Linked DNA regions of Coturnix japonica. Each later gene encodes a partner of the first gene's protein in a complex. Links are inferred from orthologs where the notes say so. Each region holds a gene or a part of one and is shown in the gene's direction. Other genes may lie near its edges. The genes, in order: PPP2R2A and IER5.

What was found.
Region 2: the proteins of PPP2R2A (region 1) and IER5 are in contact, whole or in part, in a cryo-EM structure (PDB 8UO5), measured with the Homo sapiens proteins. The link is inferred for Coturnix japonica from reciprocal best matches to the Homo sapiens genes PPP2R2A and IER5. Residues at the interface, in NP_002708.1 of Homo sapiens: Glu91, Ile92, Glu93, Glu94, Asp116, Tyr178, His179, Asp197, Leu198, Met222, Leu225, Thr226, Glu227, Val228, Thr230, Ser247, Phe280, Phe281, Glu283, Ile284, Ser287, Cys334, Tyr337, Glu338, Asn339, Asp340, Phe343, Lys345; in NP_057629.2 of Homo sapiens: Ala7, Arg9, Ile10, Ile13, Ser14, Lys17, Arg25, Gly26, Lys29, Leu30, His31, Lys32, Leu34, Leu35, Val36, Leu38, Val39, Leu40, Arg41.

The regions. Positions count from the first base shown.
Region 1 is NC_029537.1:1,776,006-1,791,052, reverse strand, and holds the start of PPP2R2A (serine/threonine-protein phosphatase 2A 55 kDa regulatory subunit B alpha isoform), read left to right. Parts: upstream 1-5,012; 5' UTR 5,013-5,027; coding exon 5,028-5,068; intron 5,069-5,365; coding exon 5,366-5,432; intron 5,433-7,353; coding exon 7,354-7,417; intron 7,418-8,393; exon of another isoform or gene 8,394-8,591; coding exon of another isoform or gene 8,592-8,598; intron 8,599-9,874; exon of another isoform or gene 9,875-9,889; coding exon of another isoform or gene 9,890-9,926; intron 9,927-10,498; coding exon 10,499-10,573; intron 10,574-15,047. UniProt on the Homo sapiens protein: Substrate-recognition subunit of protein phosphatase 2A (PP2A) that plays a key role in cell cycle by controlling mitosis entry and exit. Involved in chromosome clustering during late mitosis by mediating dephosphorylation of MKI67.
Region 2 is NC_029523.1:5,887,501-5,901,767, forward strand, and holds IER5 (immediate early response gene 5 protein), read left to right. Parts: upstream 1-8,457; 5' UTR 8,458-8,612; coding exon 8,613-9,314; 3' UTR 9,315-9,841; downstream 9,842-14,267. Other genes in the region: STX6 (syntaxin-6), read right to left, coding at 278-372, 943-1,112, 3,264-3,298. UniProt on the Homo sapiens protein: Plays a role as a transcription factor. Mediates positive transcriptional regulation of several chaperone genes during the heat shock response in a HSF1-dependent manner. Mediates negative transcriptional regulation of CDC25B expression.

The DNA.
Region 1 (15,047 bases):
ACGCCCCACCAGTAACATGTTCTGACCTCCCCAAAGCTGGGGCTGGTTTTTGTTACCCTTACAGCTGCTCTCACCAAGCAACCTTCATCAGACTTCTCTTTTTGGCATGGAACTCTCCCTTTCACCACTAATTAGGTGAGTAAATGCAATTACAGGCCCATGGAGCACACTTTCTATGACCAGCTGTAGACAGCTGGTGCAATTTGGCTGTACTGGCAGGCACAGGTCTGTGCTGTGGCTGCCTGCAGGTGGAGATAAGGGAAGGAAATTCTGGGTGCTGCTCCCCAACACGAGCACACAAACAGCACAACTTTTGCCTGCAGGCAAAGCTGCATTGTCCCACTGTGATATACACAGTGGTAGAAGAAGACTCCATTGCTGAGCTTGCTGGGTCTCTGCTTAACTAGACTCGCATGTGCATGGGATTCAGGATTCCTGCTTATCCTCTCACCTCTTGTATTTAAGATACTGGGAAAGAAATACCCCAAAGGAAGCTGCCTGTTATCCCGCTGCTGCTGTTCCACATTTGCTTCATCTGTTTCATCTTTTGCTTCCCTTTCCTGACGGGTTTTATCCTAAAAAACATAGAGAAAAACACAGGTGTACAAACAAATATTTTAGAAGAAGACAAGACATTCCCTGTTCTACAAGCCACGTTAGCTCATCATTCATCAACCATGACCTAGAGTGGAAATTGTCCAGTATTTATGACCTCCCGTCTCAAATTCCCCCAGCAGCCTCATACAGCTCCCACCCTGTCCACACACTGAGTGCCAGCATTGGGTTCATCAAGGACAAATACCCAGAGCTGCCCCGAAGAACTTGGAAGTATTCTTGGCTCTGAGCATTAACTGAAATGCCACATACCATTGTGAACATATAAATGGGAGGGACCTGACCTCTACGAGTTATTTTTGGGGACTCAAAACAGGTTTCAGTGAAAGGGAAAGAGCAAAGAGGTTCCCATTTGAAGCATTTAAGAGAATTTTGTCCAGTTCTCTCCAAAAATCAAAACGTTTGGATTCTAATTGTAGCATAAACTTCATGCTCTTCCCCTGCTCCTCTCTGCTCCAACCAACACTCCCTCTTTTCAAAACAAGCCTACAAATTGATGTTCCTATTTCCGGATGGTCTGTGTTAAACATCCCCCACCCCCAGGGCATGGGAATCTCACTCAGCACAGCCCACTCGTGCCATGAAGGGCAGCCAATGATGTCACATCGATGGGTGCTCCGTGAGGTGGGCAACATCCAGGGAATGGCAACGAATTGATTTCTGTTCTCCTCAACAGGTTGGAAACTGCATTGAGCCCACAATGAATTGTTCTATCGAGTCCACGCGTGGAACTTAATTAACGATTTAATTAAGCAATGAATGGACGCCGTTGTTAGCAAAACGTGATATGGGTCATGGCGTGCAGCCTTCCTCCCCTTTGCTGCCCCTCCTCCAGGCGTCCACTCAAGTTTTATCTCCACAACAAAACAGAAGCCTCTCTTTGTTCCAGCTGCAACACTGGCGTCATTGACAGAGTACTCATGTGTCCAAAAATAACCAAAGCTGGTGCCCATTGGAGCCATCCAGCATCATGTCCTCGTGCTTGGCACATCCCTTGAAATCCTACACCTTCTCAGATGGGAGTATAAAGAAATAGATAAATCAAGATTGTGACTCCTTGTACACACTTAAAGGGACAAAGGCTTTCTTTTCTTCCAGATGTTTCATGTTCTTAAAGTGCTTGTGGTCCCTGCATCTCTTTGCCACTGTTGTTCATAGAGTTATTTTTCTACCCTACCAAGGGTGTTTGCTTTCTACCTTGCATTTCCCAAGCCATTTTCTCTGCTATTTTTATGATTGTCTTCTGCAGTTGTTCTGACGCTGCACTGAATCTTAACCCAACCCACGTTCTGCACAGAAATCAGAGGGAACTTCAACCCTTCCTTAGCAAGGAATAATTACTGTCACTCACGAAGCATTGAGAGGCACAGAAAGAAGCCAGGATCCTTAACATTAGGGGCAGTCAGAGGATCCAAACACACCAACCTTGCAAAACGTTGTCCCTGCTTTTAGTAAGAGATCAGACCATTTGCTTCAGTCATGCAACACGAATGTGCAACAGAACAGGGAACAAAACCCAGCTCCTGTGAGTTCCTCGCCAGCCTTCTAATTTGGAGCACACCTTTGATTTTGATAGAGAAAAGAAGTGTAGAATGAGCCCATTTTTGATCTGTGCTGTAATGCTATTTGCTGCTGAACCGATTTCAAAACCTACCCTTTAAATAGCTGCTTTTCAGTGCTATCCAAAGCAGCCCCTACCCTGATACAACCTGCAAATGAAGGAAAGCACCTTCTGTTTCAAGAAGGCTGCCTTTTAATACAGTAAAATAATGTAATAAATAATAATAAATATAATTCCTGGGTGTGCAGATTGAGAGGGGTTTTGTTAAGATGAAATTTCACTCAAATCCTTATTTTTTTTTAATTGGAGGGGGAAAACTTTCCAGCACTGAATGCACAGAAGTATCATTTTGTTGTTCAGATTTGCCTGGAGAACAGCTCTCTTTTAAAGAGCATCTCTCATTTACCTTATAGGCAGTCTCTTATAACTTTCTGTGGTTATAATAAACATGTAATATGGCAAACTGGCTGTTTCCAACCTTGCAATTCTCCGCCTCGGAGTTACTCAGCCTTGGATTCAATGTCACCAACAGGGGGCAAGTAGGGGAGGCTCTGCACACAGCAAGAGCTGCAAAAAGCAGTTCTGCAAGCAGAGCTATTTGGCATGTCTGATCCCTGAGCCTTACTGCTGGGTTCTCTGGGATGGAGGAGGATGCAAGCTTGGATTAAAGCTTTAGCCACATAAGAAGCATTGTGACACGTCTTTGCCTGGATGGATTCTCTCAAGTTTAATGAGGTCCACACTCAAATCAATCTGTCTGCCTATCAGCTTTCCTTGAAATCTGTAGGCAGTGGGATTTCACTGAAGCATCCATTCCTATGAGACCACATTGGAATCAGGCACTGAGTCAAAAGCTACTGTGGGGAAGTGAACAAACATGGAATCATAGAATAGGTTGGGTTGGAAGGGACCTTGAAGATCATCTCATTCCAACCCCTTGCTATAGGCAGGGACACCTCCCACCAGACCAGGCTTCTCACAGCCCCATCCAGACTAGATGTGAATGCCTCCAGGGAGGGGGCACCCACAGCCTCTCTGAACAACATGTTCCTGTGTTTCACCACCTTCACAGTAAAGAATTTCTTTCTAATATCCAGTGTACCCCGTTCCATTTTAAACCCATTTCCCCTCATCCTGTCAAACAAGCCTCATTCTGGTTTTACCAAAGGAGAGAATGAGAGGAGATAAGGTTTGGCACTGGGGCGAAACGCAGCCACGCTGTGTGCTAAGGGCAGCAGAGCAATGCCTGAGCACAAATCACTCTGGACAATGGCTATTGGTGGGGCTACATTTCCTTATATCCTGGGTAAATCATCTGCTTTGCATTGTTACGAGCAAGAAAAACAAAGGCTGTTTTGGGCCCCCAAAGGTCCCTGGAGCTCAGAGCAGAGTAAGGAAACAACCTCAAGCATGAAGCCGAGTTGCTTTCAAGCCCATGCACCACGAGCTCTTTTTAAAGCACGTTATAAATGTTTTAACTGAAAGGCTGCTCCTAGAAGCTCGTGAAGTGCTATCATCCTCAGTTCATTTCCAAGGCAAAAATAAAATAGGGGCAGAAAGCTTTTGCTCGAGGTCTCCAAGGGAATCAACAACACAGCAAGGATTAGAACTAAGGATTTCCTGTCCAATCTGCAAACCACACCTCTCTCCTGTTTACACTGCTAACTTATTCCCTAGCAGAAAAGCCATGTGAATGGAACAATTCAGTCTGCTATTTCAGCCTCCCTTCCTTCCCTTCTCAGTTCATTCCTGGCAATACCTTCAGACTTTTACAAACCTGCAACCAGAACTGTGTGACAAAGCAAAGCAAAGCAGAGCAAAGCAAAGGATGCTTCCTAACAGTTTCAGCTCCAAAGAGTTGAATTTCTTTATGTCTTCCTGTGATTCCAGGACATCAGTTTGTCCATAGCCCCTCACTTCCATCAGTGGCACAATGAGACACCAAAAGCACGAGGCTTCAGTAGAGGTGAGGATCAAGAGCAAGGATGCTCCAGTTCAAAGTCTTCAAGGGCATTTGATCCCAGATTGATTCAATTATCTCTTCCCACAACCCGTGGTCTTTAAGGATCTCTTTTCATATCAGCTGGCTTTCATATATGTTTTATTAACAGCTTCAGTGATATACACAGGTTAACTACAGCACTCAAACTAAGACTTCTATTTACTCACGCCTTTTGAAGTAAACCTGTGTGGGTGTAATTATTCCAACACACAGCAAAGGATAATAGCTTGTTAATTAATGCATATAGGAACATCGCTTCGGGAGGGATCTAAAATAGAAGATACTGAACCTCACTATTAAACCTAACAGGGAAATCCCATAGACAGCAATGTTTGTAACACACTTGCTTTAGCTTCCTGCTTTTGTTAAGGGGATTTGTTTCATAGAGGTTTCTGAGGCTATTACTTACATCACCTATTTAAGTTTATTAGTAAGGACTGAGCAATTCTGTTCCCTCAACACCACTGCAACCCTCCACCCAAAATAAACACTTCAGCATATAGGTCAGGAGGTTTAGAGGTTAAAAAAAATAGATTGAAAAAAGGAAAGAAACATAAAACAATGCAATGGCCTTCAGGTTTCTTGTCTCAGCTCCTCCCCTTCCTGCCTTGTGCCTCATTAAGGTGGTGGTGAGCAAAGCCTTTCTTACCTGGGAGCTGCTTTGTGCTTCTGGGTGATGCAGCAGATTCTCAGTTAAGTCTATGCACAAAGTGGTGTTTTCCCTGGAAACTGTGTTTTTGTAAGGATTACTTTATTGCTGTGCTCATTCTGTCTACCTTAACAGATTCCAAGCTTGAGGATCGTTAACCATCTTTCTTCTAGCAGCCAAGCTAATAGTTTTTGAGTCCTATGTGTTTGGATTTATCTGCTTGGGAACATCTTCAGAAGAGGTACGAAGAAAGTGTATTTTCAGGCTGAAGGATGGAGATTCTCTGCATCAGCAGTGAAAACTGGAGCTGGGAAGGACTATGGCAGCTCTGCCCTTGGGCACAGAGCAGCTCTGCTGAGAGTATTCCCAGTAGGGAAAGGTCTTTTCTTTGCATTGCAGTCAGGTGTGCAACTGCTCTTATCAGACTAAAGCGCTTCCTGAATATCTCGCTTTGTGTTTCTTGGTGCTTGGTTTAATGTCTCTGTTTTGCTCTGCTCTTCTTTTCTTGTTTACGTGGTCTGTTTTCTGCTGCTAACAGGTTTCAGAGCTCTGGGTTAAGATCAAATCACCCTGAGGTGGAAGATTTGAAGCTGAAGAGGTTCCAGGTGATCCTGAACTACATGCTTTGTTAATCCCTCCTAATAGATGATAAGGACTAGGCCTCCTTCAGGTGCATCCCCTATCTTGCCCTGTAGCCGTGCTTTCAGTTTCAAGCTCATTTCCCATCGTAAGTCCTTTATTTTGTGGTCAGATTCATCTTCCCATAGCAGTAACCACAGCCAATCAAAACCTAGTGAGAAAATTAAAGATGGTAAGAATGCAACTTTTGTATGGATGTCAAGTTAGCCATCTCTTTTATTAGTCTTTATAATTAGAAGATACTGAGATGCCTCCTACCCTCGCAAACAAGCCCTCCTAATTAAAACACACTTGTTTTGCTGCCCACTACTTCCAGGGCCATTTTTCCTCCCCAGAAGCCCTGCTTTCCTTGCATTCTTGCCTTCAATTCTTCACTCTTGAAAAACGAATCTCCTGCCAAAATTCAGGTGTCCAAATCCTCTACAAATTGGGCTTAAATAATCCATTAAACCAGTATTTTGCAAATGGTGGTTTCAGGCATTATAACCTAAACCTGCTCTAAACAGATCAAGTTCAGAGCTGGTTTTAAACCGGTCTTGCAAACTACAACTTTAATGAGTGCATGAAATTCTTTCCAAGTCTAATTAGTCTTTCAGCTTGCTTGAACCAGACCAAAGTCAAGGAAGAAAAGCCTTTGTGATTCCTGAAAGAGAAAGCTGAGGCTTCCCCTTGTTATAGCAGAGCTTTAATCCAATAACGTTGACGCTTTGGAGATGGCATGAGCCGCTTGCTTATCACAAAGCAGGGGCTGCCTGACCTCTTGTGAGCATGAACCTCCACCTGGTAGTATTAAAGGCAGGGCACAGTTTTGATAATGGCTGTTAATTAAGTGGCTTCATGCGTAGAGGCATGAAATGAAGAAACCCCTTTTGCTGAGATACTTAGTGCTCAGGCCATACGAAGCCCCAAAGATCGTGCTGCAGGAATGAATCGCATCGCCCTGATGTTAACTTGCAGTGAACCCAGCTATTACTCAATTCCAGCGATAACTTTGGTGATGATTACTCCTTTTATTCCTAATATGAGCTGTTGTAATTCATTATAGTCTTGTCTAATGGGTCAAATTGCTAGGAAAGCCAAGCAGATACGAAATGGACGGGTGACCCCAAGAGTTCCTGGGGCTGTAGTTGTTTGATCAGCGATTTGATATGAATGTGTAGCTTTTAATTGGCCATTGGTCACATTTTGGTTTCAAGGGTCCTCTGTATGTGCTTATAAACCTCTGTATGTGCTTACAAACTTCCAAGCAGAGCTGCAAAATGCTGCTGTTAATGTGCCCCAGCCATTAATGCTATCGTGAATGTGTGTCTGTCTGAATTAGCAAGCGAGCAAAGGCTGTGATTCCCAAGATGTCTTACTAATTACTGTGGCTGTGATTTAATGTTAATTATTTATTATACTCCGTTATGTTCTATAGCTCAGTTAGCTCAAAACAAAAACCTGAAACGTTTGGAATTACGATCCTTCGTTCTGGCAGCGTGATATTAAGTCTTTTATAAGAAGGACTTTGTTCTAATTATAAGGTATGTGCTAAAGCTTCGTTAATTTATATTACAGTGCTAATTGCAAGTCCTTTGCAACAACGCCCGTTCTGCTACAAGGGCCAAGTTCTGTAGTAGTAATACAGAATGCAATGGGGCTTCGCTTGGAACTGTTCCCTTCTGTGTAGGGGTGAGGATGGCTTTAAGGCATCCTGAAGCACGAGGGATGGCAGCTTCTGTGCCAGGTCTGGAGTACAGTGAATACACAGATCTGTAGAGTTGAGTGCATTTGATCCTGAGTTCTGGAAGACGTGGGCCATGTGTTAAGGGAAGGCTCTGAGCACCATGATAGTCCAGGAGGAGCTCTTGGTTGTGAATGCTTTCCAACATACTTGCTTCTCTCCAGGTTTCTGCATTGCTCTCAAAATGGACTAAGCAAAATATGTGGCTCCAGATATTCCCAAACTTAGGTGAGTTGAAAGAACACCCGTTTACATGCTGCGTTCCCAACATTGCTTTTTCTTCCCAAGAACTGTTTGATTTGTATGCGTGGCCTTAGAGGGATGCATTGATAAAGATGCTTTTCTCCTGCAAGCTGGACTGGTTCTGGGTTTCTGATGTGCACCACAGAATGACCCGGGTTGGAAGGGACCTCAAAGATCATGTAGTTCCAACCCCCCCTGCCTGGCAGGGCCACCAAACATACACCTTTACTAGATCAGATTGCCCATGGCCCCATCCAACCTGGCCTTGAACACCTCTAAGGACGGGGCATCCACAACCTCCCTGGGCAGCCTGTTCCAGGGCCTAACCACTGTCCTAGTAAAGAACTTCCCACTAACATCCAACCTAAATCTTCCCTCTTTTAACTTAAAACCATTTCCCCGTGTCCTGCTATTGTCAGCAAAGGGGGAGCTTCTTTAGGGATGCTCAATGGGCTCAAATCCAGACAGGCTGTGGGTGCTTTGTATCTGGAGGTATTCAAGGCAAGGTTGGATGGGCAACCTGGGCTAATAGATTTGGAGGTTCATGGCCCTGCTTGGCAGCATTGGCACAGATATCTGTGAACTGATGAGGTTATGATTGAGATTGGGGGGTTGGAACTACATGATCCTTAAGGTCCCTTCCAACCCGGGTCATTCTGGGATCTTAAATAGACGGTGGTGAAGTGATGGCTGCAGTGCTGTGTGTTAATTACGGGACAGGTGGGTGTAGGGGGATCTGCGAAGTGGAAGGCGGATAAAAATGGCTCCGAGCTGGGAAGGGCAATGATTTCCTGGGTGAAATCAGAGCCTGAAAGTAAAGATGGGATGGAGAATAGGAATGAATGAGCGAAGCACACGGACATACACTACGGAAGCCGCCTTGTACCGCCCCGCCCCATTCCGCCCCCACCGCCCCCCTCCGGGTGATGTCAGCCCCATCTCGCCCGGCGCCATTTTGAAAGTAGAGCTGCCTTGAGGGGGGGGGGTGGGCCGGAACGAGGAGCGGATCGGGGGCAGCCCCAGGAGCGGAGCTCGGCCGCACCCCCGCCACCATCCGCCGCCATCCGCCCCCCGCGGCCGCCCCGAGCGCGGCACCGGCGGCACCGCCGCGTAGCGCCGAGCCCGACCGACACGCAGCGGCCGCTCTCGCGAGCCCAACATGGCAGGTAAGGGGTAGGGGCGGCTGCTGCTGCTGCTGCGGGGTGGAGGGGGGCGCAGGTGGGGCTGCTGCCCCCGGGGTGGGGGCGGTCTGGGCTGTAGACGGTGGAGCCGCCCCCGGGTTGGGGAGCGCCTGGTCGGTCTCCAGCTTCAGCAGTCGGCCCTGCGTGAAAATGGCACGAGGGGAGCGCCGGGCATGGAGGGGGATGGGGGGAGATTGGGAAGTTACCCCCGAGCGATGGGGGGTCCCCGCAGCTTTATAAATGAGGGGCTGTAATTAGGGAACACGGGCTTTTCGGTGCGTCCCTTCTCGTCGCTTTCCATCTTGCATCCCGGAGCTTTGCTCGTGCAATGAGGGATTCTCTTCTTCCTCCTTCTTCCTCCTCACTTTTCCTGGCAGGCTGCTTTTAGGAACGCGTTCCTTCTCCTGCAGGTTGCATCGCCCTTCCAGCGGGTTTGTGCTGGGCTTCCCCCCCCCCCTCCAATCTCCTCCTTCCTCTTTTTTTGTTGTTTTCTTAAAAATAAATGGAGAAAACGGCACGGTTGGACGTAGCCGTTTGGAAGGCGGCCTTTCGCCATCATGCATGGAGGGCAGTGATTGATTTCTCTTTCCAAGCCCGTCACCTTTTTAGCAGCAGGCACCATGGCAGCGTGGAATGACGGAGGAAGAGGGTTGGAGAGGAGGAGGAGGAGAGCGGGTTGTGTGGGGGTGGGGGGCTCTTTGGGGGGGTATTTTTGCAGTTCCATCGTTGCTTAAAGGCGTTTTGGCATCTCTGGCATTGCTGAGTGCTGTTGGAGCCCTCACCAGGTCCAGCTGTGTGCTTTGCTTTGCTGTAATCCTTCAGGAAGGAAAGCAGAGCGAGCTGCAAGCACTCATGGGTTACATTCAGCACCCCCACAGAAGCCCTGGGTTGTATTTGGGCTTCAGGTTCCCACCTCTTTATCTCCTTCCATCCTTCCCATGGATGGGTATAGGAGAGGGGTGCAGTCCCTTCTACATGTTGAGAACGGCAGCAGCCCTTTGGATTAACATATCGCTGCCATCTGTTGCTCATCCCGCTTGAAACCGCGTCGAGGGAAAGTTCCATTTTGACATTGGCTTTGCCCTAAAATGAAAAGGCCGGACCACAAATAGTGAGGCAGCAGGGCAGGCCCGTGTCAGCCCCTTCCTGTATGTCCTCAGCCCGGCGGTGATTTGCTCACAAGTCGATGTAAAAGAGAAATGGGTGGTGGTTTTCTTTTTGTGCCGTGTTTTGGTTCGGGGTTTCAAATGAATCGCCGCCTCCCGCCGGGGCAGGGATGTTCCTCAAGTTTTCTCTCCGCTCTGTGTTTTATGGTATTACAGCTCATTGCTTCCTATCGCTGCTTTGCTTTTCTACTTGGATTTGCTGCTTTGCTTTTTATTCACCTCTATTTTTAAGCTGATAATTGCTTTCGTTCCTGGTAGAATTATTTCCTTTAGCCTTCAGTATTTAAGTTCAGCTCGGGGGGCTTTTGGAAAGGGAGGGAATGAATGGCACGCTTGGTTTCTCTCTATTGAAATATTCTGCACATTCAGAGCTTTTTCTGCTTCCCAACCAGGTTTTGTGTGTGCTGGGAGAGAGGGCTTTGATTTCTAAAGTGGGAAGCAGCTCTGTGTGTAATAAGATGCTTTGGGGTTTGGTGCCAGCAGTACGAGCCCCATGAGCTGCTCCCATCCACTTCTGCCGCTAACGCTGCTTTGGTGGACGCCAGCAAAGTGCTGAGGACAAAAACAATATCTGTAAAGGGAAAAGGTGGGGAGGGGTGGCTGTGCCGACCTCGCTGCTGCTGAGGAAGTGGGTGTGCGCGGTGTTGTCTGAAAGCTTCGAGTCGGCGGCTCCTGTTGCGGTGGGGGGTCTCATTTTTTGTATTGTGTTTTTTTTTCAGGAGCTGGAGGAGGAAATGACGTTCAGTGGTGTTTTTCTCAGGTGAAAGGCGCTGTGGATGATGATGTAGCAGAAGGTAAGAGAGATCTTTCAGATTATCCTTTTTCCCCTGGCTTCTTATAGCTGCTCTTTGATTAAGATCTTCCCAATCTCAAACATAAGGGCCCAAGTCACATATGTGCATTCAGGGCATTCGATTCAGGATCAGGCTACACCAGCAGGGTTCTCTTCGTGCTTTGAAGGACTCCATTCAGCCTTCAGGAGTGTCCACCTGTAGTTGTCTTCCCTAACAGTTCAGGTTCCCCATCACTCAGCTTTTGCTGTTCCTAACCTGGACCGTGATCCTTGCATCCCACAGGGAAGTGGTGTAGCAGTTAATTAATATTGGTGTTCTTTGATGATCCAAGCATTTGATAGAGTGATTATTTTTCCTCAGTCTTCCCAACTTCTGTTAACCAGAGGAGGATGAAATCAAAGTATTTGTGTCTGCTTGCTTACCTCAAAGCTGGAGGGGGAGTTGTGTGTTAGAAACAACATGGAAATTGCATATTATGACATATATATAACACCACAGCAGTGCTGGCAGTGACAAATGTCATCTCTTACAATCAGAAGCAGCCATCTTAGTGACTACAAGAAATGTGCTTGCTCTTATTTGCTTGGCCATCCTTGGAGGAGTCCTGCGTGCTGTTTGGGTAGTCGTGGTGGTGGGCAACACTTCTGCTTTTCCCTTTGCTTTGAGATAGTTATGGACTTGTAAATGCATTTGGCCACAGGTTCCTGTTGGCATGGTATGACCTGTAAGATCAGGAGTTGGTTACTCTTTTGCTCTGGCTTGCCGACAAGTGAGATGAACGTTGGGTTTAGAAGAGCAATAGCTGCAGTTCCCTTTATTTCCCCATTCGATGTGTGATCGAGATGAACTTGAGGCAGAAAACAAGAGTCTGATTTTATATATTGGCTGCAACACGTGGCAAACAAGGAGCTTTAAAATGCTGCTGTCGCTTTGTGAGCTGAAGGATGGACTTTGGAAGCAAGAAAACAACTTTATTTTAAAGCTTATTTTAGGAGCTTTTGAGGAAGTATATTTTAAGGCATGAGCTGTGAACTACTGTTAAAAGTAGTAAATATTTCCTTTGATCGAGTTTAAATTCTCTAACCTTTATTTTTAATTGCACGTCAAGCTAAATCCTCAAGGTGCAAATTTTGGGAAGAATTACGGTTGTGTGGCAGATGCTTGCAAATAATTCTTCATTAAAACAGACACGTTGACTGCGTGTAATAGCAATGAGCTACGGGTAGTGGCTTTTATGGGGATGTGGAAAGGCAGGAGTCAGGAAGCAGTTTGTCCTTAGCTGCTGTAGGGCCTTCTGCTTTGCACCATGAGGGGTGACTCCCCAAAGCCTCACTGTACTGCAGGATATCTGATGTGTGTCTGCATCCTGGGATGGGGTCTCAGAGGTGGGGTTATAGTTGGTTGTAATGGATCTTTAGGAGCTCTTCTGAGCTCTTCCTGGTTATTTGGGTCTCAGGTTGCTTGTTGAAGTTTGTAGGAAGCCAGCTGTTGTAACTGTAATGCAGTTTTACCTTCCATGCAATGTTTGGAGTTCCTACTATGCTTTATACATTGAAAAGGTTAATGATGTATCAAGCTAAAACTTCAACCTTTTCCTTTTCTAAGTTAGGTTTCTGGCTTTAAGTTAGACTTGCTTGAATAAGATGAAGCCTCGTGGAATTAGAACAGCAGTTTTGCATGCTTCTGGTCCTCCTTCAGAATACCAGCAGACAAATTGTCAGTGGCTCTGAGTCTGCTGTGGCCTTTTTCCCACCCCACTGTCTGCTTTCTTCTGGCAAGCTCCATGGCCAAACCTTAAGAAAACGGTGCTGTCTGAAACTTCAATGGTCCTTTAGCCAATGTGGTCTGCAAGCTAATGAGTGTGGGCTCTGCTTGCCCGATGAGTGAGGGCAGTGCCAGTTTGCTGAGGGTAGTACCAGGGTTGGAAGGAGTTTCCCTGCCTGTTTTCTTCCTGTTCTCAATAGAATGTTAGGATGTTTAAATAGAAAAGTTAACGTAAGTTAACATAAACTGGGGAGTGTCAATCAAGAAAACTGCATCTACTTAATTGCAGCAAGCAGTGGAGTTTAACCCAGTGGTCTCCCTGAAACGTTGCCTAGAAATAAGTGAATGGAGAGCAGTGCTTCTTATAATACAGTGATAATAGCAAGTTAATAAAGTTTGTGAAGAATGTTGCTATTTCAGCTTCCAGCACATCTGATTCAGGTGTGAGTACAGCAGTGGGAGCACCTACAGCTCTTCAGGTGCTTTGGTCACAGTGGATCCTTCTGAGTTGGTGTTTGATGGCTGAAGCACAAACTATCATGAGACACTTGTTAATTTTCTGGCTTTACAGTGTGGTAGGTGGATGTGACGGTGTTTCTTTGAGAGATGGTGAGGATGGAAGGAAAAGAAAGGGGAAGCCGTTACTAAAGCCTGTTGAATGAAGACAGAAGTGGGGCCTTCCTGTGCCGCTCTGCTTTGGCAAAGGCTTGGCAGCTGGAAGGGGTATGGTTCCATGAGGAGCAGTGAAGAGGATGTGCCTCTCAGTGCATATGGATCATGGCTTCTGCTCTCTGCTTCTCAAACAGCAGATTCTTTGCTCCACAGAAGCCTTCCTCGTTTCTCTGCTTTGTTTGTCTTGCTGAAGCTCAGTCCTACAGCAGATGCACTCATCTTGTCCTGGTTCTGGATCTTCCAGAGCTGATAGAACACGAGATGAGGCAGAACTGTTCTGGTGGTGAGAGCAGTGATTGTTCTCAGATCAGTGTCAGGGTGTTCAAAGCACCTGTAATGCGTGAGGTCGTCCCCTTTGGTTCCATCACTGCAGGTAAGTCAGAAGTGCTCAAAAGGAGACACTGCCGTATTTTATTAGAAGGTTCCTTTGTGGGAATGGCTGCAGGAAAAAACAGGAGATTTTTCTGCTGTTTCTTTGTCATGTAGTTTGTTTTTGTTCTTCTGTTAAGTTCTCTAAGGTACAGTAATGATGGCAGCTCTGGTTGGAAACAACTTAGGAACTGTAAGTTTAGACTGCCTGAAAACTGAACGCTGGCTTAATGGAATGAGTTCATACTTCAGAACAAATTAAGTCAAATTTGTTTAATTACTTGGCAGAGGGAAAAGAGTCAAGCTGCTCTATCTAAATGTTCTTTCAAGTGTAATCCAAAGATACGTAAAAGTCTGATAGTCTCCATCCAAGGCTGGAAGCCAGGAACTTAAGTCCTAAGCTTTGGCCCTGAGTGATTCCACATCTCTTTGACAAGTTGTTTAACTCCTTGGTGCCCCTGCAGGAGTTATGGGTGCTGCTGGCTCTGATGCTGTGCACTGTTCTATGCTTCTTTGTTAATCTGTCACTTCATTTGTGTTTCTTTATAGTCACAACGGTGCTGCAGTCTGTTGCAGTTGGTGACGTGATGAACAGATGAAATCTCTTATGTTTCTGTCCCTGGACATGTTGCATGGGGTCAGAGATAAGAACAAGGCTCTGCATTTCTCTTGTTTGTGAATGTTTTCTCTGTTTGATTCTAGGTACGTTAGAACTTTCAGATGTAGTTTTGTGTTTATTTTTGGCTGACTTCAAAATTGCAGAGCAGCTGTGGGCGCTTATTGCTTCAGTTTGCCTTCAGTACACCAAAATAGCTGCCATTAACAGTGAGGAAAACTGAAGTCAGGAATGAGAACTGCTATAAAAGAGCAGTTCAGCACCTTGTGAAGTTCACTGTCTTCTCTTGCCTTATCAGAAAACTTTCTCTTAGTCAAGTCACATCTGTTAGCACTGGAAGTTAGAGCTGCAGAACCTCTGTGTATAAAGAGGATGGCTGTGACCTGCCTTGCTGTGGTGTGTCCTGTACTGTTGGCTTAGCTGCTAACTGACCTCTGGATAGAAGGATGTTGCTGGGATCACATGAGAAGGAGGGCTTCTACCCAGCTGAGCTTGTGGGCAGCAGTCACAGAAGAAACACAATAGTGTTGTTATAGAAGCAGTGGTTAGGCTTTTCTGTAATGGGCACTGATGCAGTAGGAGGCAAAGCGGTTAATGATCAGGCCATCACACAGGGGTTATACAAAGGAGTGCAGCTCTGCTGTCTGGGGGTGCCCTGCTGGATTACAGCTCATGATCAGCTCTGTAGCTTTGAATTTGAAAGGTGCATCCTAAAGCTTCTGTTTTGGTTACTCGTGCCCTCACAGCGGGCTTCTGTGATGGCTGTAGCTATATAGAATGTGTGCAGGAGAGAGCTAAAATCAGGAGAGCTTCTGGCAGATGCAGCACTGATGTAAGAGTTAAGAGCTGGGTGTTCCTAGCTTTGCTGTTTGCCTTTCTTTTTTCCCCTGCTGTCTTCTGACTTGCCTATTTAGGCCATGGCTACATGTTTGGCAGCGTTTCTGCTTGAAGAGGCACTCCTTCCCACTTTGCTGGCACCAGCATTCATGTAACTGCACAATGAACTCGCCTGGGAAGCTGATCCAGCTGAAAAATGCTTCAAATTGTGCTTTT
Region 2 (14,267 bases), on another chromosome or scaffold:
TTAATGCTGGCTGTAGCACTGAGTTGTGTGAAGCTGCGGCCCAACAAGCAGAGCTTTGCCAGGCCCACCTTTCTGTGAAGTACTGATATTTAAGAGTGTGAGCTTAAAGTCAGGCAGTCCTCGGTGGGAACATGTGATGTGGGGATGAGGAGGCAGCCTGAGGACAGGCAGGTAGGAGACTTACTCTCTGCTCTCCTGTTCAGCACTGACCTAGTCACCCTACTGGCTTTTTTTAACCACTCAAGCTGCCTTCTCTTTCCCCATCCTTGCTTCTTACCCTGACCACCTGCCGCGTGCTGGTGATGAAGGATTTTCTGATACCCAGCTCCGTGGCATCCAGGTTGAACTTCCGAGGGTTTGCCTCAACAATGCGTAGGAGAGGAGTTAAGGAGTCTGTGAGTGACATTCAGTGCACACAGACAGACAAACAGCCCCAACGGGAACCCACAAAGAGGCAGTTTTCCACTGTGCTGCACCTTCTCCTATAATGTGATTAGTAAAATACTAGATGTTGGAGGAATGAAAGCATGGCAGCAACATACAACACAATGCATGCACCAGAATGAGGTTTCTCTCCTGCTTTTTTTACAGCTCCCCAGTGCTGTGCAGTACTTTGAGCTGAACACGAGGGAAAAGGAATAGTTTTGGAAGCCAGCCTGCAGTATGAGTGACTACACAGAAATCCAAACTCATACAACACAACAGGCTTCTGAGAACAAAGCGTCTTATAATATACCTTGTCAAAGGGAAGACAAAAGGCAGAGGGAAATTCTTTTGCTGAACTCGTTTGCTGTTTGAGAAAAGCTGAGGTAAATGCAAAATTCAATCCCTGACTGTCCTGGTTGATGCAAAAATTAACTACCAGCGAGAGCTGGGACGTAGCTACTTATTACAGCTTGGGAACTGCGTGTCCCAACCTCCAAAGAACTCCAGAAAGGATATTAATTGTTTCATCCAAGTCTTCCAGGTCCCACTCGATGCTCCGCAGATTGTTCCTGAGCTCATTAGTGGTCCAGTCGATTTCTTCTCTTGTGGCAATGGAGGGATCCTGCAAGAGCTCTGTCCACCTCTGGAAGAGCCCCTGGGCAGTGTTCACAGCTTTCTGCACTTCCCTGAGGTTGGAGTGAAGAAAGAGAAGTGAAGGAACCACATCAGCTGTTCTGCAGCAGTCATGCTGGGACACGCCATGCCCAGAAGAGCTTGGAACTGCAGCCTCCCTGCAAGCACCTTTCCTTCTAGTTCATTTTGTGCAATAAGGATTCGCCATACCCACTGAACAACCCAGTCTCCTCTCCTGTTGAAGCACAAAGGGACAAGGAACAACTTATAGGTCGGCTACCACAATTAACAAGAAGACCAATTGCATCAGGAGTAGTTTCTGCTGAGTGACACAGAGGTGAGACAGTGCAGTGTGAGCGGCTGGACAAGACTGCCCTCATGGCAATTAATGTGCTGCATTCCTCTAAAGACTACCTAAGTGAGATACCCCAAGGATGAATGATGTTTATAGGAACTGTCCACACAGTGGTCAGGCAGACTGTTGTGTCCAGCACTGTTTATCTTAAGTTAGCATTAAAAAACTACACAGCTCTACTACACTGGCTTAGGGAACAGAAGTCTTTTCTGCTGCTCTAAGCTTTTTGGAGACGAGTGTATTCACAACATGGGAACACAGGCTTTGCTGACAGCACTGAATGCTGCTTTTGCGATCAGGGGCGAGCAGCAGGTAGCAATTCTCTGTGCCTACAGACACTGCAGCCCTGACCTGGGAACAAATCTCTCATGTCCAGGATGAGAGATGCAGACGATGTTGTGCTGGTGTGTCAGCCAGCAGAAAGTCAGCATCCACGTAAGACGCAGGGATTTATCTCCAGCAAAGGAAAGCAGTTTATCTGTTGGGAAAGCCCAGAAGGGATGAACCACGTCTGCAGCCGGCAGCAGCCATGTCAATGGCTGTCATGTCTCAAGCCCTAAGGTCAGCAGCTCTGCTCTGTTCTCTCTGCTGCTTGCAAGCAAAAGTTCTGGTTTATTTCACCTGTGTGTACTTGGAAAAGCACCTACCAGCAGGGATTCAAAGCTGGACACCCTAACAGGAGGAGTTACAAGCACCAGGGAAGCAAACTGAATGCCATGTGGCTGGGCTCAACTCCTTCCACTGTAATCTGCTGGCTAATAATTAACACCAGGAACAACACAACATCTCTCTCCCCTCCCAGCCCTTCCCCTTATGGCGCGGGAAACCCTCTGGAAAGTCTGACCGGCTGTTTGCTTCCCACCCACAACGATTAGCATTTGTTCCCCCCAGCATCAGCTTAGCTTGGCAGCAATCCCCTTCTGCTGGCTGCCCTGCAGCCTTTCCCACACCTCCTGTGCTCACCTGGCTTTTCCCACTGCCCTTCCTGAGCACTGTGCCACTGCTACGTGGAGCAGGATAGCAACAGCAGGAGTTGAAAGTGGCTGCACGCTGAATTTTGGAAGCTAAGCTTCTTTCCCCCCCCCCTATTAATTCCAGTTTCCCTTTCCTCTGACCTCAACTGCCTTTGTTTTGTGTTTGTCTTTGTTCAGGCTTTCCTCAGTGCCACTATCCATGTGTGTTTCTTCCTCAGATCATCTCTCAGCATGGTCACTATGCTCTGGTGCTCTGGGGATACCCTCGGTGAGAAGCAGCTTTGCATCCAGCCATGCTCTGCCCACTGCACGGTGACATGTCCAACCTCACATCCCACGTGCTGCTGATCGATGATAAGGACAGCTGGGAATGGCTTTGGGGGTGACAGTGGGGGCAGAACCCTCACAGAACTGTCAAGATCCCTGCTGGCCCCTCACAGCCCCCCAGATCCCTGCTGGTCCCTCACAGCCCTCCTCCCCAGATCCTTGCTGACCCCTCACAGACCCCCAGATCCCTGCTGACCCATCAGATCCATGCTGACCTCTCAGCCCCCCCAGGTCCCTACTGACCCCCCAGATCCCTGCTGGCCCCTCACCACCCCCAGCCCCACACCCCCCCATTTCACACCTCCCCTCAGAATCCCCCACCCCACACTCTTCTCCCCACACCTCTCACCCTCATCCATCCCCTTCCCAGCCCATTCCCTCCCCCTCAAGGCCTCCCTATTACCCCAGCACTCATTCTCCTCCTCACAGCCCCCACCCCCCACATTCCCCCTCGCATCCCTAGCTCCCTCCTCTCCCTCCCCCCTCACAGACCCCTCCAGCTCCCCAACCCTCACCTTTCCTCTCCCACACCCAACCCCATCCCTCACCCCTTCACCACGAAGAACGGATCCTCCATCGACATGATGGCGCCGACGCCGCCGAGCGCCCCGGCTGCCCAGCGCTCCGCCCTGCGCGCATGCGCGGCTGCCCGCTGCCAGCCGCCCGCCCCGTCCCGCCATGGCGTCGGCTGCGCCTCCCCTCAGCGCTGGGATGGGGCAGCCCGGCTGCCAACCCCTCCAGTGTCACTCTTTGTGTCGCTCAGTGCCGTATTTCCACTGCTCTGTAACACCTACAGTGTCCCCAGTACCTCCATGACACTCAAGATCAGTGAGTCCCGTGCCTCACTGCTCTTCTGGAGGGGGAATGTTCCTCATACCCAACCTGAACTTCTAGCACAACCTGATGCCATCCATCACCTCTCATCCTATCGCTGTTACCAGGAGCAGAGGCCGACCCCTCCTCACCACAGCCTCCTTTCAGGCTGTTATACAGAGCAATAAGATCTCCCTTGAGCTCCTCCACACCACCCCATCCCTCAGCTGCCCCCATCCCGCTGTGCCCCACACCCCCATGCTCAGGCCCAGCCTCCCTTAGCCAAGGCAGTGCTGCTTTGCTTATGGAAAACCCATTTGCAGAGATGCCTCCTCAGCATGGGAACCAGGTGAGTGGCTTTTGCAATCGCAGCACGCTTACTCACGAGTCAGGGGTGAGGACACACGTCGGACTGGTTTATGGGCATGGGAAAACACAGCGACTTGGGTGCATACAGCAGGAGGTGGCTGTATGCTGGGCTAAGACATGAACTTCATAGGGAGAATGAAGGCAGAAAGCTTTTCTTTGATGCTGGAAATGATGAATGGGGGTTTTCTTGCATAAGACTGCACTGCTGTTGTTTCACAGTAGGCTCATCTTGCTATCCAAGCTCAGGTTTTTGGCTTGGAAAGGCCAGGCAGCTTTTAGCTTTCCTCATGTTGGTGAGCATTAGCCAGCTGCAGAACTGGCCAGGGAGGATCTGATGAAACACTGGGAAGCTCCAGCTCATCACAATCCAACCTGCAAGAAAGCACAGGGCTCACGGAATGCTTTATCAGGAGAATTCCTATGGCATGTATGTACATGCACAGGGATGTGCTCAGCCTGCTGCTAACAAGGTGTATTTGATATAGTAGAGGTGGCTTTTCAATGGTGGTTGTGAGGGGAGGGTTAAGGCAGTGATAACTGGATGGGAAACATCAGTCTGTGGCTAAACAGTCATTGCTGTGGTGGGCTGCAAGGGTTTACATTGTGGTTTATAAAGAGGTTCCATGAGCATCGTGTTTAGAAACCTGCTGTGACTTAATTGAGAAGTGAGAAGTGAGAAGTGAGAAAGGGGCAGACAGCACTGAGCCTGTAAGGATGCTGGCCATGCTCAGGGCTTACCTGCAGCTAAAAAGGATTATTTATCTGGGTAATGAGGTGCTGGTTTGGCAAGACTTGATGGATTGGTGACAGGACTTAGACTGGCCCCATCTGTGGGGTGGATAGTGGGAGCTGCACTGTTATAGTGGGTCACAGAGGAGGTCTGGGGCACCCACGTGTGTGACCAGAGAATCCATTCCAGGCACTAATTAGAAGCAACTTTCTCTGGCCACCTCACCCCATCAACAGTCCTCATTATCCCCATGTCCACGGGTGGCTTTTGTACCCAAACTCCTTGTCACACAGTCAGCCCCGCAAGAGGGCAAGGTGGCAAAGGAAGGTCCTCACAAGAGGAAAGAGGCACAGACATTTCATGCTTTCTCTTCATTTTGGAGAGAGGGATTCAACACAAAGGGCTGAATGGGGCCCTGAGCAGCCTGATCTGGTGGGGGTCAACCAGCCCTTGGCAGGGGATGGGACTGGGTGGGCTTTGAGGTCCCTTCCAACCCAACCATTCTATGGTGCTGTGATTACATGATTCTACAATGCCGTGATTTGATGTTTCTGTGAGCTGCTCTGTCCTTGAATGCCACTCTGAGGATGCCTGGACGTGGTCCCTCACTGTTAGCTTGGAGCATGGCAGCGTGACACAAGTGTCATTGCCATCCAGCAGGAAGCTGTGGGACACAGGGCACATCTGTGCTCCACGACGTGCGCAGGGCTGCAGCCGGCACTTGCCTGCCAGCTAAAAGGAAGGTGACTTTGAGATGCAGGGAGAGAAAATAATTAGACTGTGACTCCTTTGGGCAGGCAGCCTACCCTACAGTCTGCAGGGCTGCGGCTTCGGCTGGCTCTGATGTGTGGATTTAACCCTGTGCTGGGCTGCAGGTGAACCCAGGCTCCTGTTTGGCACGGAGTGAGAGCATCCCTCAGGGCACAGAGCAAATCACCCAGTCGGCATCATGTGAGCAGCAGCCCAGTGCTGTGCTGGGCTTCTCCTGGGCACCAGGAGGACCAAAGGACCAGAGGAACAAAATACAGGAAGGTGGACTACAATAGAAGGGTTGTCTGATAGGAAACCCCGGACAAATAAATGTGTTCTTTCCCCAGGAAACCAAAGCCAATTTCATAAAGGACTGTAAGCTGTGGGGCCACCTTTTTCCAAGGGAAATGGCTGCCTGAAGGAGCTGATAACCATCTACATCCTTATCCAAACTCAGACAAGCTGTGGGTGCCCTAACTCTGGATGGATCCCTGTAAGGTCATGGATGGAGCCCTAGGTAGCCTGACTGGTAGGGGACAGCCATCCCACGGCAGGGTTGGGGCTCACTGATCTTTAAGGTCCCTTCCAACCTAAGCCTTTCTATGATCTCCCCGAATGGAAGAGGGGTTTTAACCTTGGAAAAACCCCTTTGCTTTCTAGTACGGTGCTGCGCTGTGTGAACGCGAGGCTGTGGTTTCCAGTGCAGGTACAGAGCACTCTCAGAAGCTGGGGGAGCCACTTCCCTTCCTTCAGCTTTAGGTCTGTGTTGCTTTCTTTGTTTCGCTTGCGTGTTGTGTTGGGTTGTCACCCAGCAGTGCTTAGTATTTGGGGATGTTCTCTCTGCCCTTGTCTTCAAACACAGATAACCCAGAGCAGATGGGAACCGGGGAGCATTACCTACCCATACCCAACAGCGGGAGGCTGAGACTGCATCTGTGTCAACCATTGATTTATCTAGGAGGGAAGAATCAACCCAAACGATGCTCAGCGTTAGATATCTCTTATCTCTGGCTACAAAACGAAGCCCTGTTTGGGAATGGTTGCTTCATCAGTGGAGCCTGGAGATGTCCTGGAGGTCCATTGTCACTTGGGGAAGCTCAGTACGAAGGGTTTTATCCCCTACCACGCTGCTGGTGTGAGAGTCTGTGTCCCAGGAGGAGCCCAACCCCCGAACCAAGAGAAGGGCGATGATGCACCGGGGAGGCTCCAGGATCCCGTGCTTGGAGGACACCTGGATGTCTCCGGGATCGCTCCCCATTCCTTCAGAGTATCTGCCCGGCTCACATGTGTTGACAAGGCGCAGTGCCGGCTGCCGGAGGGTCGGCGCCAGCTTGGAACAGGATCTGGGTAACCACATCCGCACTCGGCGACAGGTCGGGGGCCGCGCTGCGTGCCAGATGGCCCGGCCCGGCCCGGCGCTGATGGCAGCGGGACCCGAGAGCTGCCGGGACGTGACAAAGCGCCGTTCGCCTTATATTTCCGATAGCGCGAGGGAGGCGGACAGAGAGCTGATATGAGACGGCCATCGGGCCGTGGGCAGCCCGTGCCACGAGGCAGCAGCGCCAGCCCCCGAGCGAACTTCCCGGAGCTGATTGAATCGCCTATAAAAAAGCAGCCGTGTGCGCAGCCTCTGCGATTACGATGTTGTACCGCAAGCTGCTTCCTGTCCCGAGCCTCTTTTATCTCGCATTGTTTTCCTTTCCAGGTGGGGCTGCGGGCTCCCCGCCGCTCGGCCCCCCGGGTTTCCTGCTCGCTCCGAGCCACCTTTGTCTGCCGGCCCCGCTATTTCGGGAAACGGCAGCTGTGCCGAAGGGCTGCGAATTGTTTGTCAGCTCCTTTCCAGCCTGCCCAGATCACACGCGGACAGAGAAGCGGCCGGTCGCACCCTGCCCGCCCGGCTCCTGCCGGGGATGGATGGGGCGCTGCCCCTCGGCTGGGCCACGCACACGGGGACGCGGCACCTCCCCGCGTGGGAACGGGAGCAGCAGCGGCACGACGGGCGGACGGGTACAGACAGACAGACAACAAAGCCACCCCAAGGCGAGCGCTGACCTCAGAAGCTGCCATGTGACGCTGCCTCAAACTTACTAAGGCATGACATCAGCCTGGGAGGGAAAGCGGGGCTGCCACCAAAATACCGCCCGGCTTAAAAGGGCTGAGCTGGGCCGGACTTTCTGCAGCCACCCCCAGCCCTGCTTCTGTGGCATTGATTCTTACCGGGCTCAGCTGAGCACCAAGGGGCTCGTGTCCCACAGCACCCACAAAGAATCCCCGTTGTTTTCACACGCGGCTGGTCACAGAACCCAATGACAGCACCGAGGTGCCCCGGCCGGTCGGGCTGAGCACGGAGCAGGTCGGACAGGTTGGGATCGCTGAGGACAGCAGTGCTTGGTTCCCATCAGCAGGGTGGGAAGGAAAGCCCTGCTCTGCCCGGGGCTGTTCTCTGCAGCCCAGAGGCCGGTGCACTGGGGAGGGGGGTCTGAAGCCTTCTGAGAAGGGTCCCTGCTGGTTCTTTTCCACGCTCATTGAGTCCCAATGGGGACGGGCAGCCCCTGCACCTCACGTCCTGCCCTTCAATACCAAGTGAGGCTCTTGTTTTGGGTGAGAAAGGGAGAAGTGGGAAGTGCCGTCACATGGCAGACAGGAAGGCAGCAGGCTGAAAGCGATACCCTGGGCTGTCCTTTCACTTCTGCCCTCGCCCTCTTGCCCCCATTGCTTCCTGGAGCTGGGCTGGGGATAGAGGCAAGAATCAAATCCAAATTCACAACCTGGACAAAGTGAATCCAACCCCAACGTATTTCATGTATTCTACATAAAATGGAGAATAAACCCATCAAAGACAGCTGCCCCTTGTGTACTGTAAGGTACAAAGGGATGAAAGCTTCTCAAAGCGCTTTTTTGGCAGGAATTAGTGGCAGAAGACGACCCGGCGCTATCCCCGCTTGCCTTCCACTCCAGGTGGGCCCCACCAGCCTCTCTCTGGCATTGCCGCTTTAAGGGCTCTCTCCGCGGGGCGAGCGTTCGAACGCGTTACCCTGCCCCGCCATTGGCCGGCGCGCCGGCGGTTGGAGCGGCCGGCGGAGCGCTCTGATTGGTCGGCGCTGGGGCGGTATAAAGGGAGGCGTGGCGCGTGGGCACCCTCAGTCGTCGGCGAGAGCGAGCGGAGTGAGTGTGTGCGTTTGTGCGGCGGAGCGGATCGGCCCGAGTTCAGCCCCGGCTTCACCTCGGCCCACCCATGGAGTTCAAGCTGGAGGCGCACCGCATCGTCAGCATCTCGCTGGGCAAGATCTACAGCGCGCGGGGCCAGCGCGGCGGCCTGAAGCTGCACAAGAACCTCCTGGTGTCGCTGGTACTGCGCAGCGCCCGCCAGGTCTACCTGAGCGAACCGGGCTGCCCTCCCGAACCGCCCCCCGCCGCCTGCGGGCCGCCGGCACAGCCCGCTCCAACTTGTCCCGCCGCCTGGGCGCCCGCGGAGCCGGACGCGCCGAGGCTCGGGCGGCCATCGGCCGACGCGGACTGCGGCAGCTCCCGGCCGGCACGGCGCTGCTCGTGGGGCGGCTGCCGCTGCGGGGCGGGCGCTGAGGGGCCCCGCGATGCCGGGCGCTGCTGCTCCGTGCCCCCGCTGTGCCCCCGGAAACGGAGCGCCGCCGAGATGGAGCAGCAGGGCTCGCCCGTGAAGAAGCCGCGCAGAGAGATGGAGGAGTCGCCGCCGCCCCCGCAGGGCGAGCAGGAGGACATGGAGACGGGCAACGTGGCCAGCCTCATCAGCATCTTCGGCTCCAGCTTCTCGGGACTGCTCAGCAAGGAGCCGCAGGGCCGCCGGCGGCCGAGCCTCAACGGCAGCGAAGAGACGAACGCGGAGCCGGGGCAGATCTGTTGCGATCAGCGCGTGCTGCGGACCCTCAACCCGTGGAGCACGGCCATCGTGGCCTTCTAACCGCCAGGAGGGGCACGGACAGACCCGGAGCTGCCCCCCTCCTCCTTCCTCCCCCCCTCCCGGCCCCGCACGGAAGAACAGCGGGCAGCAGCACTTCCCCTTCGCCGGGCCCCGACCGTCGGCAGCCGCCCTGGGAGCGGCCCGACCCGCCCGGAATTCCCCTTCCCGATCCCCCGCCCCGGGGCGCTCCCAGCGGGGGATATTTTAAGCTTGGAAAGTATTAAATTTATTAAATAAAGTGTTTATTTTGGAAAGGTTTAGGGCAGAACTGTTACATGGTGCTTTTAAAAAGTGGTTATTGGAGAGAAGCAGAAGTTTACAGACGCTCCGACGGAAAGTCCTCGTGAGCCGAGGTTGTTAGGCTCGGGGATCCCCGGCCTTTGTTGTATAAAGGCTTAGGGGTCCCGTATTGGGGTAGGGGTGGGATGGAGGGGGGGTTTGTACAGTGTTCTCTTCGGTGATGTATCTCGTTTTGTATGAAATGTATTGCTACGTGTGTGACACGTATTAAATATTTTCGACTGTAGCGGCTGAATCCTTGTCTGTGGGGTGGGGGGTGGCAGCCAGGCACCCCGCGTTACCTCGGGTGGGGTAGTGAGGGGGGGTTACGTTGGGTTACGTTGGGTTTCTGTTGTAGACCCAACGTTCCAACCCGCTCCCAGCTCCAGGTCGATGGCTGTGGCTCAAAGTCCTGCTCTAGGGGCGTGTGAGCTGCCGCTGCCAGGCATAGGCTGTGCTCGGGGCTGCTTGTTCCGCTGCCAGCAGTCGTTCTCCTCGCCTCCTGTTTGCTGTTACTTGCGCGGTGGTTACGATGAGCAGTTCCTACTATTGCTAAGAACTGGGTTAAAGTTCCTGCTCGCATGGGTGGGGAGGAAAGCTTGGCCTGTGCTTCACAGCCACCGCGGAGCGCCCCGGGGCGTTGTAATTACATTGAATTGTGGGGGAATTTTTGTTCTTCAGTTTCTCGCTGGGATATTCACCGGAGGCTCCTCCGCTCCTAATTAACGATCCCTCCCACTGAGGACTCTGCTGTGCGCCCTTGGGAGATGCGACCCAAAAGTCGGGATGGGAGAGCCGGGCAGCGGGCTGTAAATGCTGTTAATTCTCTTCCAAACTGGTTGTCAGATGGGGAGGAGGTTCTTCGGCTCTGCTCCACCTTCTACAGGCGTTGTGCAACAGCCGGACCGCTGGCAAATGCCACGCTGCTGCTGCGGCTCCTCCCGGCTGGGTGACCTCCGGCTTCTCGCTTATCAGCTGACACGCGCTGTCCCCGAAGGACCCGAGCTGGCTCCGTGGGCTGCTGGAGCCGTCCCCGCTGTCGTACCGCAGCCACGTTGGACCCCGCAGCCTAATTCAGTGCCGGCTGTTGGGTGGGGGGGAGCTGGAGGCCGCTCCCAGGGCTGCGGTGACCCCGCTGGCCGCAGGGAAGGGCGGCTGCAGCTCCAATTGTTCCGGAGATACTTTGCATAACTGGCAGCAGGGCTTAGGAAAGTGCTCCGGGGGAGCTGGAGCAGCCCGATGTTCTCAGGAGCTGCTCGGGGGTCCCAGGATCTGCCTTTCCTCGCCTCCTTCCCTGCGTCTTTTCTCGTTCCTGTAATAACACTGACATAAACAAGGGCCGTTCTTCTGTTCCAGTGTTTCGGTCCTTGGAGTTTCCCTTCCCACGGTGCTGCGTTGAGGGCGAAGGGGTGGGAAAGGACAGGGCTGTAGGCTTGGGGAGGGGCTGGCAGCCCAACCGCACCTCCGTGCCAATGCTGCTGATGGAAGGAGTGCAAAAATAAGCCAGATAAAAATAAAACCTTCCATCACTTGGAAGAAAGGGTAACTCCTATGGAAATAGAGGGCCCGGACGGATGTGATCTAATGGCAAGATGACAGGTCCTCACCTCCTGGAACAGCAGTGGGGCTGTTGGGGAGCAGCTCCTCAGTGTGGTCTGGAGCTGAGGGGGCTGCTTTGGGCTTGGATGCAGAGCCCAAGGCTCAAATAAAAGGGCCGAACCCACACGTCCTGGGATGGCTCAGCCCTCTGAGAGGGGATGAGCATAGAGGTGGTTTCCAGGGTCCTATTGGGTGTCCCCCACGAGTGCTCCATCCCGGTGCACCCCGTCCTGGCCTCTGTCCGTGCCTCCCGGGCAGGGGAGGAGGGGGCAGGCTGTGGGCTGCAGCATCCTGCGGGGCTGTGTCAGCGCTCAGGAATCCGGGAGCTGCTGGGAAGGAGGGAGGGAGGAGGAGGGAGGAGGAGGGAGGCCGGGAGGGAGGCCAGCGCCTCGGGGCCGCGCTGCTGGGGCCTCTCCCAGCTGGGGAATGGGGGGGCACCGCACCGGTGGGGGCTGCTGAGTGAATGGAGAAGGGCGAATCCAGGCTGGCTGGGGTCCCCGAGGCAGGGGATGAACGCAAACAGCTTTCTTCTGGTTGTGATTGCTGCTACTGATAGGAAAACCCTGCAGGCCCCCCTGGCTGGGTGAGAGCAGTAATGAAACACAGAGCTGCTGGGGAGGGCTCCTTCTGGCTCCCAGCTGAGCAGTGTGTTGGTTTGGAGAGCCAGGGCTGGCCATGCATGGGGTGCAGGATGCTCCAGTGTGTCACCCCATGTCCTGTTCCCTTGATCTGTGCCTCTTCCTAGGGAAAGGCCCTTTTCCTCCTGTTCCTCATCTCTGACCTCAGCCTGTAGCCCTGGGGCTCAGCAGCAGCTCAGGACAGGTCAAGGCACATCCAGCCCCAAGCTGAGCTCTGTGCATGCAGGCACAGGAAGGAGCGTGACTCCCAGGGAGATGCTCCCCCTCTGCTTTTCCTGGCACTGAGGGCACAGAGCTGGCTGGGAACCACCTGCAGGAGGGGAAAAGGGAATGAGGAGGGAAACACAAGAGCGGATGGGGCAGGGGACAGGCAGGAAGGACACAGAGAGTGGCTGGGAGAGGCAGGAAGGGTGGGAGAGCAGGAAGGAGGGGAGTGATGAGGAGCCCCCGGTGCTGTGCCCCGTCCCCAGGCACACAGCAGGGCCCCCAACCCTCACTAGGCTGGGCCCTGGCTGGGGTTTTGTCAGCAGCACGTGGGAGGAAGTGGCTGTGAGAGCAACAGGGGACAGAAATCCCCAGCGGGCTCTGACAAGAGTGGGTGGCAGATCCACTCTGCCCTTTGAGCAGGCTGCTTTCTCCTGTTTATTATTCAAACCAGGACAGCACTGAACCCCCACGTGCCCAACTCTGCTGGCTCCAGGGCTGTGCCTGACCCGAGGCCTTGGCATAGAGCCATGTTCTGGGGAAGGATGAGCAGACAGATGGACATGTGGCTCTCACATCCTTCTTTCTCCTTTTCCCTTTCCTATGGGAGAAGAGCAGCAGATGCATCTCCAGGGCGCTCAGCCTCATGCTGGGAGCAGGGTGCATCCATCCAGCTGCCCCCAGAGAGCTCTGGGACCCTGGCAGCTGCCCCTTTGGGTCTCAGCATCTGCTCCAGGACCAGAAAAGGCCAAGTTCACCTCGGAGGGGTCATCTCCCTTCCAAGCATCTCCTCCAGGTTCAGCACGGTGCTGACATCCTCCTGCTGCCTGCTGCTCGCTTTGAGATGCAGGGTAAGCTGCCGGTCTGTGAGCAGCCAACCTCCTCCTTTCCTTGTGCAGCAAAGCCCTCTCGTGGAGGCCTGCAGAAGCTTGCCAGCCAGGAGCTGCCCCTGCACGGCCATGCAGCGCTGGGGGGGTCTGCAAGCACAGCCCTCCCTCCTGATGGATGGACGAGGTACTGCAAGGTGGTGGGTGGGTGGGTGTGCTACTCAACATGCCCTGCCATCACCTGGTGACACCCAGCCCGTGTCCTTCAATGTACACACACTGGCTAACATTGATGTGCATCACCTGGTATAACGATGCCACTTAATACTCCCCCAGCTTGGGCCACCTGCTCTCACTAAAGTCATTTGGCTATTTCCCTCTCTAAATCTAGCTGAGAAGAGCCATCAGCTCACCTGCACACCTGGGCACTTGGTTGAGGAGCTGAGTGGCCTCACCTGAAGCTTCCACCCCCCTGCTGCCCATGGGGATTTAAGCTCAACCCTGTCTCCCTTTGCTGTGTTGAGTTGCTAGTTGGGTTTGCTATGTTTGTAGTTGGAGGATTCCCACTGTAGTGATGTTCTCTGTTATAGACTCAGTGAGGGGTCCTTGTGTGCCATCAGTGCTTCTGAGGAGCCTCAATCTGTGCATTGCCCAGGTACTCCCCTCTCTTTTGTTCCCCAACAGGTTTAATTCCCTACCTTGGTTATGTGGTTAAGCAATTTCCCTTTGCTTGTAGCAATACAGCTTTGTGCTGCTTGCATGTAAATGGTATGGTTGTCACCTCCTCTCCCAGGGGCTGATAGCAGCCTGTGTCAACATCTGACATCCCTGCTGACACAGTACCAGCCCTCTGGTTGTCAGCCCTCAGCTTCTGGGCTGCTAGCAGAACTTAGGGCCTCCGGGAGCAACTGTGGGGCAGCAGGGTCCAGGTATGTGCTGCTGGTGTGGGGTGCTGCTGTAGGTGCTTAACAAAAACTGGAAACAATCTGAGCCCAAAGTATAGCAGATAATGCAAGGAAAACTAGAGCCTAGAGGGCTCTAAATGACAGTGATACCAGTGTAGTGTTCTAGGGAGCATCTCTAGGGCCTTTCCTTGTTCCTAAGCACGTGTTGGTAGGGAGAGAGCCCTGTGCTGGGCTTTGGCATTTCCTGAGGGCTCCTTTGCTTCCCGGTTTGGATGGAGCATGGGGATGCCTTTTCCTGGCTGTATGTGACCATTCTGTGCACAGCTCCCTGCAGCCCTCGCTCCAAATTAGCCTCGTGGGATGAGTCCCGCAGGTTAATTACATATTGTACCTGAAACAACGGCTCTATTGTTATAACCTTGCAGTGCTGCTGTGTGTTGGCTGTTGTAGTGCAGAGAGAGCAGCTGCACTGAGCTTTATGAGTCCTATGGGACATTGTCT